Cricetulus griseus: one gene and its partners. The protein of the gene in region 1 interacts with the protein of each later gene in a biochemical or structural test. Links are inferred from orthologs where the notes say so. Each region holds a gene or a part of one and is shown on either strand. Other genes may lie near its edges. The genes, in order: Nup98, Nup155, Kpnb1 and Nup88.

Region 1 (4,141 bases):
TGGGATTTCTCTGTGTAACAACTCTGGCTGTCCTGGAACTCATTTTGTAAATCAGGCTTGCCTCAAACTCAGAGATCCACCTGCCTCTGCCTCCCCAGTGCTGAGATTAAAAGCACATGCCACCATACTCATTGATTTACAGATTATAATAATCTCAGAATTTTACAAAGTCTCTTACTAGAAATTAATCAATATTACAATACTCTATGTCCTAGACTGCTAGTACACAGTAATATGACAATAAATAACTTACTTTCCTAATCTGTGAATTTGGTGCGTGCTGTAAAAGTTTAGTTATTCTTAGATACCTAGGAGCTAGTGGCTACAAAAAAAAAAGAAAGAAAGAAAAAAAAAAAGTATTTCAGAAGTACACAAATATCTAGCCTTTTTTCTGGAATATTTTTCAGTTTAATTTTTCTGTATTTATTCATTCACAAAAATATAACTGAGGCCGATGAGCCATGTAACCTAAATACAAATTAATATACATGTTATTTTATGTTTGAGGCAGAGTCTCATATTGTAGTCCTGACTGGCCTGGAACTTGCTTTACAAACCAGACTGAACAAAAAGCCAGAGAGCCACATACCTCTGCCTCTGAAGTGATGGGGTTTTATTTGTTTGTTTGTTTTTGAGACAGGGTTTCTCTGTGGCTTTGGAGGCTGTCCTGGAGCTCGCTCTTGTAGAGCAGGCTGGTCTCGAACTCACAGAGACAGCCTGCCTCTGCCTCCCGAGTGCTGGTATTAAAGGCGTGCGCCACTACCGTCCAGCATGAAGTGCTGGGTTTAAGGACATTCAGAAAGACCAAAAAATATAAATTTTATCATAACCTAATAAAAAGACAAACACTTGAAATATAAAATGTGTGCTACAAGCAGAAGTATCAGTAAGGAAGTGTGTGAAAGCTTACATAGGAAAGCATACCAGGAAAAGTTTCCCAGGTTGTGATGTCCAAACAGATAAAATAGTACAAAAAAACACCAGGTCACAACTTTTAATATTTATACCACAGAACTCCTCTGTTCTCTTGAATTACTTGCTTTTAGGTTTTACTGTTTATATAAACATCAAATCTACAAGCTGATAAGTATGTTCAAATCAAACTGACAACTAATTTCGTGAAATCCTTTTTGTTGTTGTTTTGTTTTTCGAGGTGGGGTTTCTCTGTGTAGCTTTGTAGACCAGGCTTGGCCTTGAACTCACAGAGATCTGCCTGCCTCTAGCCTCCCGAGTGCTGGGATTAAAGGCGTGAGCCACCAACGCCTGGCTGCCCTCCACAATTCTTAAATGAGATGGATCTTCTATGTTGTCCAGGCTGGCTTCAAACTCCTGGGCTCTAGTTCTCCACCCTCAACTTCCATTACTGGTGACACTACAGGCTTGCAACACCACATCTATATTGACTTTTTAAAAATAATTTAAGCTGGGCGTTGGTGGCGCACACCTTTAATTCCAGCACTTGGGAGGCAGAGGCAGGCAGATCTCTGTGAATTTGAGGCCAGCCTGGTCTCCAGAGCGTGCCAGGATAGGCTCCAAAGCTATACAGAGAAACCGTGTCTCGAAAAACCAAAAAAAAAAAAAAAAAAAATTATTTTTGTTTTATATGAATTGATGTTTTGCCTTCATCTATGTCTATGTGAGGGTGTCAGAACTTGGGAGTCACAGACAGCTGCCATGTGGGTGCTGGGAATTGACACAGCTCCTCTGGAAGAGCAGTCAGTGTTCATAACTGCTGAGGGGTCTCTCCAGCAGCCCCTATATTGGGTTTACTCACCCCCAACGCCTGGGTTTTTTTGGGCAGTGTCTCTATGTGCAGCTCTGGCTGTCCTGGAACTCAGTATGTAGAGTAGGCTAGCCTTGAACTCAGAGAGAGCCGCCTGCCTTTGCCTCTCAAGTATTGGGATGAAAGGCGTGCATCACTAAGCCTGCCTCTTGAACTATTTTTAAAGTTTAGTTCTCAAAAGTCTAGGTTAGGGCTGGTTGTAATGGCAAAGACCTTTAATCCCAGCACCGAGGAGGTAGAGGCAAGTGGTTTCTTTGGTTTCGTGGCAAACCTACATAGTGAATTCCAGATCAACCAGGATTTGAATGAGATCTTGTCTCCCCGAGCTCCCCAAAAGTTTACATCGAGGTAATACTAATAAAGTTCTATTATCTTACTATATAAGCAAAAATGGTAGCACCTAAATGGAAATGTTTTGAACACTATGTCAAATGTCCGTTTCCTTCCCCCTACCAAATACAGAACAGCCAATAATGAGAGACTGGAACATACAGGGAGGGTGGAATAGTATAAAAATTCTAGGCTTGAGTCAAGACATCTGCCATTACTGAGTCCTCTCCCACCTTACAAAACCTCTGCACGTGATGCAGAATGGGGGCATTGACATAGAATGTCTTAAACGCTATGGCTACAGTAATTCAAGAATCCAATCTTTCTCACCTCGGTTTACACGAACATGCGGCAGAACAGAAAAGAACCTTTCATTCGGTTGACCAGACCCCTCCAATCGCCAGACAATGTCTTAAAAAGCTAACGCACTTCCGACTCACTCAACCCTCTGGTTAACCCTAGACAAGACGCGTACTGTAGAGTGGTCAAAGAAGTGATGGGGGGGGGGACCTCACTGAGTCCCCAAGGCACCATCCCCGCAAGGGCCAGCCTACCGCGGGCTGCTCACCTCTACCCAGCGAATGAATGAGTAGCACCGGAGACAACGAGGTTCCCTCAGCGTGGGCTGCCACCCGAGGCCCCCTGGCCTACGCCCCACGCGTGTGGACTCCCTCCCAGGGCCTCCCGAGCCAAGCCGCAGGGCCGCGGGCCCCGCCCCCTCACGCAGGCCCGAAGGAGCGCGCCCCGCACGAGACTGGGAGGCTGAGGGCCCGGGGCGTCCCGCGCAGATGCCGGTCCAAAGAAGAGGACCCGCCCGCCCGGCCCCAGCAGCACTCCCGACTTACCGCGGTGCGTCTGGGGTGAGGGCCCAGGTCCGTCTGCCACCCGCCGCTCACAGAGCAGCGCGCGGCCACCAGGAAACCGTCGCCGCCGCCGAGGCCGCCGCCGCCACCGACCGCCGCTTCGGGCGCAGCGCGCAGAGGCCCGACTGCGTCACACGCCGTCCGCCGTCAGAGGCCAGCCCCGGGCGTTCCGCCCTCGCCAGCCGGGCATTGGCAGGCCGTTCCGCCACTCGAGGCCTACCGTGTTACTCATTGGGCGACGAGCCTTTTGAAACCGAACGTGAAGGCGGTCTCTGAGAAGGAGTAGAGGGGAAGAGGAGGGGCGTGAGGAATTGGGTGGGGAGAAAAAAAAAAAAAAAGAGGGATGGTGGGGAGGGACCTGGAGTCCCACCCCTTTTGCCGCGACGGTTGGCTGATAGAGACTCGCGACGTCACACACGGCCCCTCGAAGAGGGCTGGGGAGTGGCTAGAATAGTGAGCACCAAAAAGCGGTGACGTTGTGCCGAGACCCCGCCCCTTTCCTTGGAGCGCGGAGACTCGGGCTACGGAAGCTCCGGCCAATCAGAGGGAAGGCCCAAGGATGACATGGTAACTGTTCTACCCTTCTTTAGTTCAAGTCTGCGGGTAATGATGGGCAGGCTCTCAGGCCACCCAGCTGGCACTTTCGGAGCTTGAAAACCCTTTTGGGATACCTATCAATCCATGTGGCTTATCAGCAGCCCTTCAGAGACCCTCAGTCCCCACTGTTGTTCTTGCCGGTCCAAGCAAGTCTTCTCACATCCTTTCCTCTGAATCTCTAAGGTAGATCTGAGCAATGGTCTATTATAAGGCTTGATCCCAATGAGGGTTCTGCTTCAGCTGCAGCTTCAGAACCTGTGCTGTTCTGGATGGATTGGGTGCAAATGTACTGCCTTCTCCAGGACGCATTTGCTAACCTCAACAAGTTGGGGTGATGCCTGGGCGGTCCTCTTATCAGGACTTGTTACTTTGTATCTTATTTTTCTATTCTTAGACTCCTCCCTCCCCTGGTGTTGGTCAAAGTTGCGTTTTCATCCTTTTGGTGTCTGTTTCCTCCTGGGATCTAGCTAAGAGCAGAGGAGTGGGCATGTTCTAGAAATCAGACCTGTCTCGTTATTGAGGTCTCACAGAGGAGCAGGACTGTGCTCAGAAAACAAGCGTGCATACT
Region 2 (4,269 bases), on another chromosome or scaffold:
AACAAACCCAGCCTATAAGGTGTTTTAGTTTTGTTTGTTTTGAGACAAGGTTTCACTATGTAGCCCTAGCTGGCCTGGAACTCTGAGAGTTCCAGAAATCTGCCTGCCATTGCCTCCCCAAATGCTGTATTTAAAGTGTGCCATTACACCTGGCATTGCCTAGAAATTATGATACTAGATAAACATGAAGTAATATAAATTCAAAATTGGTGCCAGTAGTAAAATTTAAAATAAGAACATTATCTTTGTGTGTCAGAATCATACATAATCTTATTTCAGGTTTCTGCAAAATGATGTTGTTTGTGTGTGGTGCTGGGAACTGAATCAAGGGTATTTTACATTTTACTACACAAACATTTTACCACTGAGCTACATACCTGGATCCAACTAATCAAAAAAAAAAAAAAAAAAAAAAAAAAAAAAAAAAAAAAAAAAAAAAAAAAAAAAAAAAAAAAAAAGCTAGTCATAAAAAATTCATTTGGCAAATGTACTATTTGTAGCTAACAATCACTTATTAAAATCAAATTTCTACCAAAATTCTTAGATATACAACATCTGTTTTCTGGACCCAGCTGAGCTTTTTTATTTTACAGACCAAAATGCAAGAAAGAAAATATATTACAATAATTAATGAAGCCGTTCCAACTTTGCTTGGAGAGATTTAAAATTCCCAGTGATGGCTTGTACTGCTACTGAAGAACTCATTGACTGGAGTTCAACCAGATAACCACAAACAGCATCCAGACAGAGATTTGTAAATCTTCTCCTGGAAAGGGAAAGACATCAGGTCACCCATTTGCTTTCTTCTTGAAGATTCATTCATTCATTCATTTTTTATATGTATCAGTGCTTTTGCTGGCATGTATGTATGTGTACCATGCACATGTCCCATACTCTTGGAGGCTAGAAGAGGACATCAGAGCCCCTGCAAATGTCATTATGAATGGTTGTGAACTGTTATGGGGTTGCTGGAACTTGTACTCAGGAAGTCCGAAAAAGCAGAAAGTGCTCTTCATCACTGAGCCCTTGATTCAGAACCCCAACCATCTACACTTAAACCCATTTCCTTCAAAAGGCTGTTTCAGACCTAGTTTTGATTAACGTTCTTATAGTCCGTTGAAAAGCAAGGATTAGATAACAGTGAATGGTAAGTAGCAGGAAACAGAGAGGGGAATGTAGGTGGAGGTCAGTGTTAGCTGGAGGCATTAAAGGATGACTCCTGTTAACATTATTTACATACTTTCAGCCTTTAAAAAGACTTTCCCTTTCAATCATCCCACAAAGACATAACTGAAATGTCTTGGTCCTCATTCATAAGAAGGAGCATAAGGTAGTTTATAAATTAACTTTCAGTTTAGAAAATTTAGGGCCATGGCTGAAAACATTTCTAGTCTTTCATGAATGCAAATGCTTAGGTGATCATTAAATATGGATTGCTAATATACCCATGAAATTCTCTACTGCTTCTTTGTAATATCCAGAGTAGTGGTTCTCAACCTATAGGCAACGACCCCTTTAGGGATAGCATATTGATATTAACATTACAATTCATAACAGTACAAAATTGCAGATATGAAGTAGCCACAAAAATAATTTTATGGTGGTGGTGGTGGGGTCACCACAACCTGAGGAACTGTATTAAAGGGTCACAGCATCAGGAAGGTTGAGAAGCACAGCTCTAAGAGCATTCCATACCCACTTCATACTTGTTACCCAGGTACCTTTCACAATTTAAAACTTGGCTAGGATTCTCAACATATCTTGTCAGTAATACATGGATACAATCCAAAAGGTGCAGTGGCCTTTTCACTCTGTTCCAGAATGGATCCTATGAAGAGAAAATTTATGTATGTATACACAGACACAGTTTATATTACAACTCATCAAATATATAGGTGTGTGTATGTGTGTTTTCCTAATTATTTATATTGGATAAGGAAGTCTTTGGAATGCAAGCAAAATTTCTTTACAAAGCATTAGAAGCCGCCGATCATATGGCACATGTCCTTAATTCCAGTCTTCTGGGGGCAGATAGGCAGATCTCTTTGAGTTCAAGACTAGCCTGGTCTACATAGTAAGTTCTAGGTCAGCCAGCGCAGTGAGCCATTTTCCTTTAAATTTATGCAGTCTGATCATAGAGTAAAAGAAACTAGCAGTCACAGAACCTTAATCTGTTATGGCCCATAAGATTACAACAGGCTGCTTCCTGTCTCTATCCTTATCTTTTTGTAGTGTAAGGTGAAGGCACTACTATTTTCATTATGTCCTAATTATGAGGCTCAGTTGAGTTATTAGAAAAGCCTTGGAGAACACATTATGTGGTGTCACATTATACACCGAGGGAACTAAGGTAGAAGGATCCCAAGTTTAAGGTCAGCCTTCAAAAAACAGTGAAAGATTCAACTTTTGTACAACTACACACACGCGCGTGCACGCGCGCACGCACACACAGACACACACACACACACTATATATATATATATATATATATATATATAATATTTTTTTTTTTTTTTTTTTTTTTTTTCCTCCAACATAATGCATGTGGGATGGGGCGGCAGGGTGGGGCAGGTGGAAACACATGGAGACCAGAGAAAAGGACAGTCTAGGATGTTGTTGCTTGGCAGGTGTCCGCCTTAACTTTTTTCTTTTTCTTTTGAAGGCACAGTTAGAGGCCCCAGGATGCACCTGTCTGTGTCTCTCCAGTACTGGGATTACAAACACACCATTGCATTAGTTTTTAATATGGGTTCTGTGGATCAAACGTGGGCTAGAAGCACTTTACTTCTAGGATCTCCCTATCCTCTACATGAGATGTTTAAAAAATGAGGATACATGAGTAAATGTGCTGTTAATTTTGTTTGCTTAAAGCAAGTAAGCTGGGGATTGCAGTCTTGTGGTAGAACACTAGTCAATCATGTGCAAGACCCTAGGATAGTCCAGAAATAGCCCCTACTTTGGTTTATCTATTACGACACGAGTAAATACATACAATTATTGTTTTGTTTGTTTTGAGACAGGGTTTCTCTGTGTAACAGCTCTGGCTGTCCTAGAACTTGCTCTGTAGACCAGGCTGGCCTCAAACTCACCTGCTTCTGCCTTCCAAGCGCTGGGGTTACAGGTGTTTGTCGCCCAGCTAATTATGTTTACCCATATAAAATTAGTATTTCAAAGCAAAGCAACCCTCAGATAAGAGTCCAAAGTTTATTTTACTTGCATAATTGAAGCAAATCTCCACTGAAAACATGCAGCCTAAATGTTAAGATACCTATAAACATGTAATTGGAACACCTCACAGGAAACCCAGGGAAGATCATTTTGTTTTCTTTACCCGTGACTTGAAGAGCTGATCGTAAACTTCTAGTAGTCTAGGTAAAGGCACTCCAATTTCATTCATGGTCTGTATCACAAAACCCACATCCCAGTTTAATGTACAAACTTGCTGCTCTAAGAACAGCACAATAAAATCTGGAAAAGAAAAAAAGACAGAAATTCAGATGAGAGCTTTGCGTGTCTGTACATATGTATATCATGTGCATGCCTGGTGTCAGTGGAGGCCGGAAGAAGGCATCATGTCTCCTAGAGCTGCAGTTACTAACATTTGTGAGCATACAGGTGGATGTTAGGAACTCTTTTCAGACTCTCTGCAAGAGCAACAGGTGCTCTTACTGCTAAGCTAGAGCCCAGAAATATGGAACTCTTGACTCAGCAAACTGTTTAATTATTAAATGAGTGGTTTCTAGTGGCTATCTGAAAATGAATTTCAAGCACATTTGGGGGCCAGGAGGTAGGGTCATTTGGGAAAATGGTTCTCTTTAAAGCATCAAAACAAAGTCTAACAGCATGAAAACGAGGCAGATATAGTGATACAAGCTTGTAATCCCAGCAGTAGAGAGCCAGAAACAAGTGGATTCCTGGGGCTTGTTGAACAACCAGCTTAGCTTACTAGGAACTTACCAGGCTATCCTATCTCCAAACAAACAAAGCTAAGTAATAATTAGGGAAGTTTCCTGACCTCATATTCATGTTTATGAATGTACATAAGTGTTCTCTTTCCCTCTCCCTCTCAACAAAAAACAATAAACATATTTTGGAGCATGCTCTTTGTATATAGAATGTCTTGAGTGTAATCCCCAGGACCAAAACCCAAAAACAACCTAAAAAAAAAAAGAAAGATATATACATGCAAACTGGACACAGAAAATAAACCTGTAGTTGCCAAGGGCATAAGGGAAGAAAATAATAAGAAGTGATTAACTATTAAGTATA
Region 3 (3,565 bases), on another chromosome or scaffold:
AGGAGCAGCTGCATGACTTCATCACAGAAAGGTAAAATGTTAGACTGCAGGGCTCGGCACAAGTCTCCAACTAAGCCAACAGCTGCCAAACACACCTGCAAAGAATCAAGGAAATGATTTCCCAAAAAGAAAAGGCTTCCAGCAGAGTACAGTATTCCTTTTACCTAGTCAGCGGTCCCTCACTTGAACCAGAATCAAAGAACATATCCTTCCCTTGCGGAGATTATGGAATTTTAGCCAGATTTAGCAAGAGAACCAGGGCTGTCTGAGTTATCAGTAGGAAAGGATGATGGTGCAGAACATGGGAAACAGTGCTGCTCTTTAGGGCAGTGGTGACGTAACTTGGCAGCTGCCCTTTAATTAGGACTGTTCAGGCAGTCAACCTGTGATCTCTATCTGGCAGATCCAATATCCTTCTTTTCACAGAGCACCTCCAGTGCAGACGCTAAGGCTGCAGAAGTCTGATTCCACCTGTACTACTCTTACATGCTGCATTCATGAGAGCATATGATTTTGAGGACTGGGATGGAGCTCATGGTTTAGTTAAGTGTTTACCTAGCATTAGCATACAACAGGCTACAAAAGTCTGATTCTCAGCAATGTGAAAACAAACGAAAACCAAAGACACTATTTTGAAAAGCATATCCTACCTGGTACTCAGCATAATTTTTCAATCCAATGCCCAGGAATGGTTTAAAGGCCTCCATGTACTTGAGGAATTCACCACCCAATACTGTTAATGAAACAAACTATTAGCTAATCCCAGCAACAAAGGGCACTACATGAACCAAGTAACCCAAACATTTTGGGCAGAATATGTGTTGATTAGTATTTATATCATGAAGACATTCAAGCTTTCTGTTTGAAGGGTCAAATTCACATGTCGCATGGAGAATGCCAAGGCTCCTCTAACAAAGTAAAGTAGCAGGGACTTCAAGGAAAGAATAATTTTTAATTGACTTAGCAATGCTGCTTCATGTCCCCTCCTCTCTGGGAAGCCAATTTGAAAACAAGGTTTCCTAGTCGATCAAAGCAAGGCCTTAACAAGTCACAGCCAGGAAAAACAACAGAAAGACAGGGGTGCGGCTCAGTGGTAGAGCAAGGCCCTAGGCTCAATTCTTAGCAGCAAGAATGGAGAAAGGCAGACAGAACTGCAGAGCACAGCAGCTGGAATGGCCTTACTCACCACACTCCCATCATTTTAGGAGTCATACTTTTAATTTTTTTTTTTAAGATTTTATTTATTATGTATACAACATTCTGCTTCCATGTATATCTGCACACCAGAAGAGGGCACCAGATCTCATAACAAATGGTTGTGAGCTACCATGTGGTTGCTGGGAATTGAACTCATCAGGACCTCTGGAAGAGCAGCCAGTGCTCTTAACCTCTGAGCCATCTCTCCAGCCCCATACTTTTAATTTACTTAATCAATTTTACTTATTTATGTTGTAAATATTATGTGTGTGCATTGGCTGGCAGAAGCTAGAAGAGGAAGTAACAGTTGTTTGTAAGCCACCTCACATGGGTGCTAGGACCCAAACTCTGGTTCTCTGAAAGAGCAACAAATACTCTGAGACACCTTTCTAGGCCCTGCTTTTGTTATCTTAGTACAAGGGTCTCACTCTATAGCTGAGGTGTCCTCAGAACTCGAAAGCTTGTCTCAGCTTACCAAACATACAGGTGTGCGCTCCCCCAACTCTGCCCCACCAAGATTCCTGCATCCTAGGCATGCCCAGTATAGCAGAGGGTAATGCTGAGCTCCTGATCCTCCTGCCAGCACTACCTGAGAGCTAGAGGAACAGGTGTGTTTATGCAGTTTATGTTGTTTTGGGGGCACCCAGAGCTACCTACTCTTTAAACAAATACTCTGCCAACTGAGCTATATATCCTTAGCATCCTTTAGTTCTTTACCCAGAGGCGACTCACTATGTATCATACGCTGGGCTCTAACTAAATTCTCCTATCTCTGCCTTTAGAGTGTATAACTACAGGCATCTACTATCTCACCTGGTTTTGGACACAGGCTCTTTATTCCAGAAATAGGACTGGTCCTCACAACAGTGGTCTTTAAATAATGGCCTTATTAATATATTTAAAGGTCACCTCTGATGAAGCATTCTAGAGTTCCAATGTGCTCTTAAATGCTTTAAGTGCCCTTAAAAAATAAGTCTGAATACTGTTTTTCAAAGCAATTTTGTATAGTTAGATATACATACGTACAATAGAAGTCAATCAATTCCTAAAACTCGGGCAATAGTTTATTCCATAGGACACTAAGCCCTACAATCTATTCAAGCCCAAAGCATTGTAATCCAGACCTGACGGTGCCAAAAGCAGGAATGGAACCAGAACCTTTCTTGTTTCTTCTATCCTTAAACAAGAGAAACCCTTAATAAAGCAAATTGATTTTCAAGGGAAGAAGGAACCTGACAGACCCTTTGATGAGCACTAACTACCCCTGGAAGGCTGCCATTCTGACGTAGATGCTAAAACTAGCTGGCCATTACTTTATGGAGGCTGGCAGGAAGGCAGTGATGTAGTCACTTTCTCCTGCCCTCTGCGGGTACAGAGCCTGGGGTTGGCTGCTCTCTCACCTTCCACCAGCGTGCTAACTGCCATCAGGGCATCTTCCTGCACTCCCCCAGACCCAGCTGTGCTTTGGAACATCCGCAACAGGGAGGCCATGACCACATCAGAGATCTGCAGAGCATCTTGATGCTGGACTTTCCGGAGTACATTCTGTAAAATGAACAAGATTTCAAGATCTGTTAATTCTAAATCCACCAATCAGGACATAAATACACCTTTCTGAAAAAGAGCCCCTGCCCCTCCCCCCTTTTTGCAAAAGCAATACATTTTCCTTAAGAATTCTGACACAGCAAATCATCTTTAATCAAACATTCATTTCAATGATCTCTTCTATTTCTCAATTCACTGGAAACACACACACACACACACACACACACACACACACACACACACACACACACACACACACACAGAAAAAAGTCCTATGATACACAACATCACCGCATCTGCCTGTCAGACAGAACCATTACCCTCTACACCCCAGCCCTACTAGAGATTTGAAAGGCTCAGTTGTTAAGAGCAATGGCTGGTATTCCACAAGACCTGGTTTTCGATCCCCTGCACCCACACGACAGCTTACAACCATCTGTAACTCCAATATGAAGAGACCCAACATCCCTTTCGGCCTTCTTAGGCACTTTATGCACAGAACACCCTCCCACCCCCCGCCAAAAGAGACAAACAATGAGAGGTGGCACCATTGTACCTGAAGAGTAGCGCAGAGTAGAGACTGAAGGTCATTGAACTGGATTCTATCTGATGTGCTCTGGATATGGGACTGAAAGAAAAAAGGAAATCATGTGTAACGGAAATTTTCTACTTGAAGCAATGACCAGGCCTCTGGAATGCTAACAGTGAGCATAACCACCAGAAAGCAGAGGCAAGCAAAGCAGAAAGTAAGCTGCAAGCCTTTTGGGTTCTGGAGACTGAGCTTAAGGCAGTGCTCGAGTCTACAATGCTTACACTCCCCGGT
Region 4 (3,565 bases), on another chromosome or scaffold:
TTAGAGTATGCACTGCTTTCTCAGAGGTTCCCAGCACTCACACTGTGACTGTGTGGCTCACAATACCTTTTAACTCCAGTTCCAGTTGCCAGCTTGGCGCAGAGGAGGCAAGATGAGAATGCCTTACTGAGAAAAGGTACCAAGTTACGTGGCTAAATATAAATAATAATTATGGATTAATTTAAGTTGTAAGAGCTAGATAGTATTACGCCTGAGCAATACGCTAAACAGTTTTTGCCTGCTTGCCATCACTCTTGCTTCGCTGACATTAGAAAGCTTACTTCTTTGGGACATACACTGAAGACCAACTGAGCTATCCAGCCTCATGGAATGAACAACTTCTGGGTTTTGGACTTCCCACTGGGATACAGCCACTGTTGGACTAGTTGAACCACAGCCTATATACCACTCTAATTCTCTTTATATATAAGGTACCATGCCTGTTTTGTTTTCTGCCTTAATGATAATAGACTAATCCTCTAGAACTGTAAGCAAGTCCACAATTAAATGCTTCCTTTTGTAAGAGCTGCCTTGGTCATGGTGTCTTCACAGCAATACAACAGTAACTTATCTTTATAAGGAAACCAAATAATACCTTATATCATTTTACCTCACTATGTGTTCATCTATCAAGTTTTTAGACTTAATGTTTATACTGCTCAAAACAGAAATGAGACATACCTAGTGAATTTTCTTTTCTTTTTTAAGATTTATTTATTATGTATAGTGTTTTGCCTGCATGCATGCTTTACACCAGAAGAGGGCACCAGATCTCATTACAGATGGTTGTGAGCCATCATGTGGTTGCTTCTGAGTGTTGAGATTATAGGAATTACCATTATGCCAGGTTATGAAATCAACTTTTGTGTGTGTGTGGGGGGAAGGTCACCAAACATCTGGGAGACACCAGTAGTGTGGTTTCAATGGGTAAAGTGACCACCACGCAAGCATGATCCCTAGAATCCATGTAAAGTGGAAAGAATCATCCAGAAAGCTGTCCTCTAATACCCAAACTTGACATATACACACAAACATCATATACACAACAATAAGGAAACTAAATATCTCAGTGGATCCAGATATGTTAAAACTTGAGTCTGCCTCAGTAAGAATGTGCTGTGTAATAACTAAAAGTTCAAAAGAATCCAGTGATAAACTTTCTAAAAGCTGAGATCATACAAATAAACTACAAGTTAGCATAAATACAGTGGGATAAAAAGCACTTAGTGATACCTTACCTTTGTGCAGCTTAATTGGACAGGAAAAGTCAGAAGCAAAGGGATCATCCTCTCCAGATGCCAGTTTCAAGGCAAGCTCTAATTCAACACACTCAAACACATACAGAGAAGGGATGAGGTCAACTCTGGGATCCCAGGACTTTTCTGACTGTTAAAAACACAAAGGGAGAAGAAAAAAAAAGGACTGAAATTCCAACCCCTCTCATGAATTTGAAAATGTACACAAATGAAAAAAAGCATGGGCCAAGCTTTTATTTCATTATGTTTATAAGTGTTTTACCTACAACTATGTCTGTGCACTACTTGCATTCCTGGTGCCAACAGAGGCCAGAAGAGGGTGCTGGATCCCCTGGGACTGGAGTTATAAACAGTTGTGAGCCACCATGGGTGTTAGGAACTGAACCTGGATCTTCTCGAAGAGCAGCCAGTGAGCATAACCACTGAGCCATCTCTCCAGCCCTAAGAGCAGACTTCTGTTTGGAAGATTCAATTTACTGCTTCAGGGTGTGAAACCCTTAATACAAAGATCAGAAACAAATACATTTCATGGACTGGTAAATTGGGCGATCTTTTAACTTCTTTCCACTTGGACTCTTAATTATGCTTTAATTATTCTTATATAAAATATATAGTTTCCAGAAATGCCATGTGTAAGCTAGAATTCTTCATATTAAGCATTCAAACTGGCCCATAAAATACACCTGCTATTAAAGATACGAACTATAGTAACATTAGCCTGGCACTTACTGTTTGATCATCTTCTTCTTCACCCTCTAGTACAACACAGTGATACAGCATTCCTGACTCAGTCGCAATTACTAAGATATTGGGAACACAGGGCAAACAGAGTACAGCACAGGCATCGTAACCGTAGTTATCTTCAGCTGCAGGGTGCATAGGCAATGGTCCCAACAGCTTCCCAATATTCCCAGGGCTAAAGGAAGAATGAAAACCTTATCAGAAAAATATTGACAGAAGACAACCACCCCCTACTCTTCGATTTTTGTCTCCCTTCAGTTACTGTAACTTCAAAAAGAGGTCTTTATTCTTTATTTTCCCACTCACATCCCAACAATAGTGATTCTTGATCTAATTTTCCCTTTGAAAGGAAAGCAGCAGTGCCTGAAGAGATTCCAGGGTTTTGTTTTGTTTGGTTTCTTTATTCCTTCCAGACAAAGTCCTATCTAATCTAGGTTGCCTTTAATTATTGATCCTCCTATCATAGTTTCCAGAGCTAGGATTCTAGGAGAATGCTACTGTGTCTTTGAAGACACTGTAGACTGTTACACCATGAGGTTCAGGGGCATGCCTGGCATCTGTTGGTGGTGGTAAGATCAGAGGTTTCATCCTCAGAAATCACTACAGCCACCAGAAAAAAATGAGACAAAGGGCTAGACTGATGGTTCAGCACTGGCTACTCTTGCAGAGGACCTGAGTTAGATTCCCAGAACCCATATGGTGGCTTATGAATGTCTAGCTCCAGTTGTAGGGAATGTGATGTACACTTCTGACCTCTGCATACAAATTGTACACATACATATATGTAAGCAAAAACGCATACATATCAAATAAAAATAAATCTTAAAAAAAAAAAGACAAGGTCCATTACACAGCCCAGACTAGCCTCAAACTCAGAACGGTTGTGTGCTAAAATTATTGGCATGTACCACCACATCTAGCCTGGTTTCCATTTTTAACTCTCCACTGACAGACAGTATTCTAGCAAAGATTCCCCCATGATTCTAGTTGCTGAATCCAACTAGACGTGCTATATTATCACTGGTTAACAACTGTTGCTGCCTGACATTCTTTTGTTTTCTTGAGACAGAGTCCATTCAAAAAGTCTTTGCTGTCCTTGAACTCACTATACAGGCCAGGCTGGCCTCAAACTCACAAAATCTGCCTGCCTCTGACTCCCAAGTGTGGGCATGAAAGACTTGCACCACCTGGTGGCTGAACACTGTTAACACTTCTAACAACTTATTTTCTGGTAGTGTTCTCTACTTCTCTGAAAGAGTCCTTCCTAAGTGTTGTTCTCATTTTTCTCTCTTGTTTTCTGGGCTCAAAGGGTGAACCTGAGCCCTGAACAAAACAAAACAAAAAACCCCCAACAACAAAAAGGCAAAACTCCAATTAAAAAAACAAAACCCTGAGTATATCAGATAGAAAATTGTACAACTTCAGTTCTCCCTGTCCTACTCTGCTCAGAAACCACCCTATTTTCCAGAACAGACCTCAGCATGTTCATTACCTAGGAATGTAACTCCATCAAATTTCCATGGAAGATACTGCTAGCTTCAGTATTTGTTGTTATTGTTTACCTGAAT

What was found.
Region 2: the proteins of Nup98 (region 1) and Nup155 form a complex in vitro, tested with the Homo sapiens proteins (2 studies listed by BioGRID). The link is inferred for Cricetulus griseus from reciprocal best matches to the Homo sapiens genes NUP98 and NUP155.
Region 3: the proteins of Nup98 (region 1) and Kpnb1 form a complex in vitro, tested with the Homo sapiens proteins (3 studies listed by BioGRID). The link is inferred for Cricetulus griseus from reciprocal best matches to the Homo sapiens genes NUP98 and KPNB1.
Region 4: the proteins of Nup98 (region 1) and Nup88 form a complex in vitro, tested with the Homo sapiens proteins (2 studies listed by BioGRID). The link is inferred for Cricetulus griseus from reciprocal best matches to the Homo sapiens genes NUP98 and NUP88.

Annotation. Positions count from the first base shown.
Region 1 is NC_048596.1:97,176,059-97,180,199, reverse strand, and holds the start of Nup98 (nuclear pore complex protein Nup98-Nup96), read right to left. Parts: upstream 2,821-4,141; 5' UTR 2,682-2,820; intron 2,591-2,681; exon of another isoform or gene 2,444-2,590; intron 1-2,443. UniProt on the Homo sapiens protein: Plays a role in the nuclear pore complex (NPC) assembly and/or maintenance. NUP98 and NUP96 are involved in the bidirectional transport across the NPC. May anchor NUP153 and TPR to the NPC.
Region 2 is NC_048595.1:341,864,930-341,869,198, reverse strand, and holds the end of Nup155 (nuclear pore complex protein Nup155), read right to left. Parts: intron 3,469-4,269; coding exon 3,332-3,468; intron 1,829-3,331; coding exon 1,722-1,828; intron 767-1,721; coding exon 628-766; 3' UTR 555-627; downstream 1-554.
Region 3 is NC_048600.1:110,314,751-110,318,315, forward strand, and holds part of Kpnb1 (importin subunit beta-1), read right to left. Parts: intron 3,371-3,565; coding exon 3,299-3,370; intron 2,743-3,298; coding exon 2,598-2,742; intron 734-2,597; coding exon 651-733; intron 96-650; coding exon 1-95.
Region 4 is NC_048600.1:84,763,257-84,766,821, forward strand, and holds part of Nup88 (nuclear pore complex protein Nup88), read right to left. Parts: intron 2,173-3,565; coding exon 1,986-2,172; intron 1,387-1,985; coding exon 1,239-1,386; intron 1-1,238. UniProt on the Homo sapiens protein: Component of nuclear pore complex.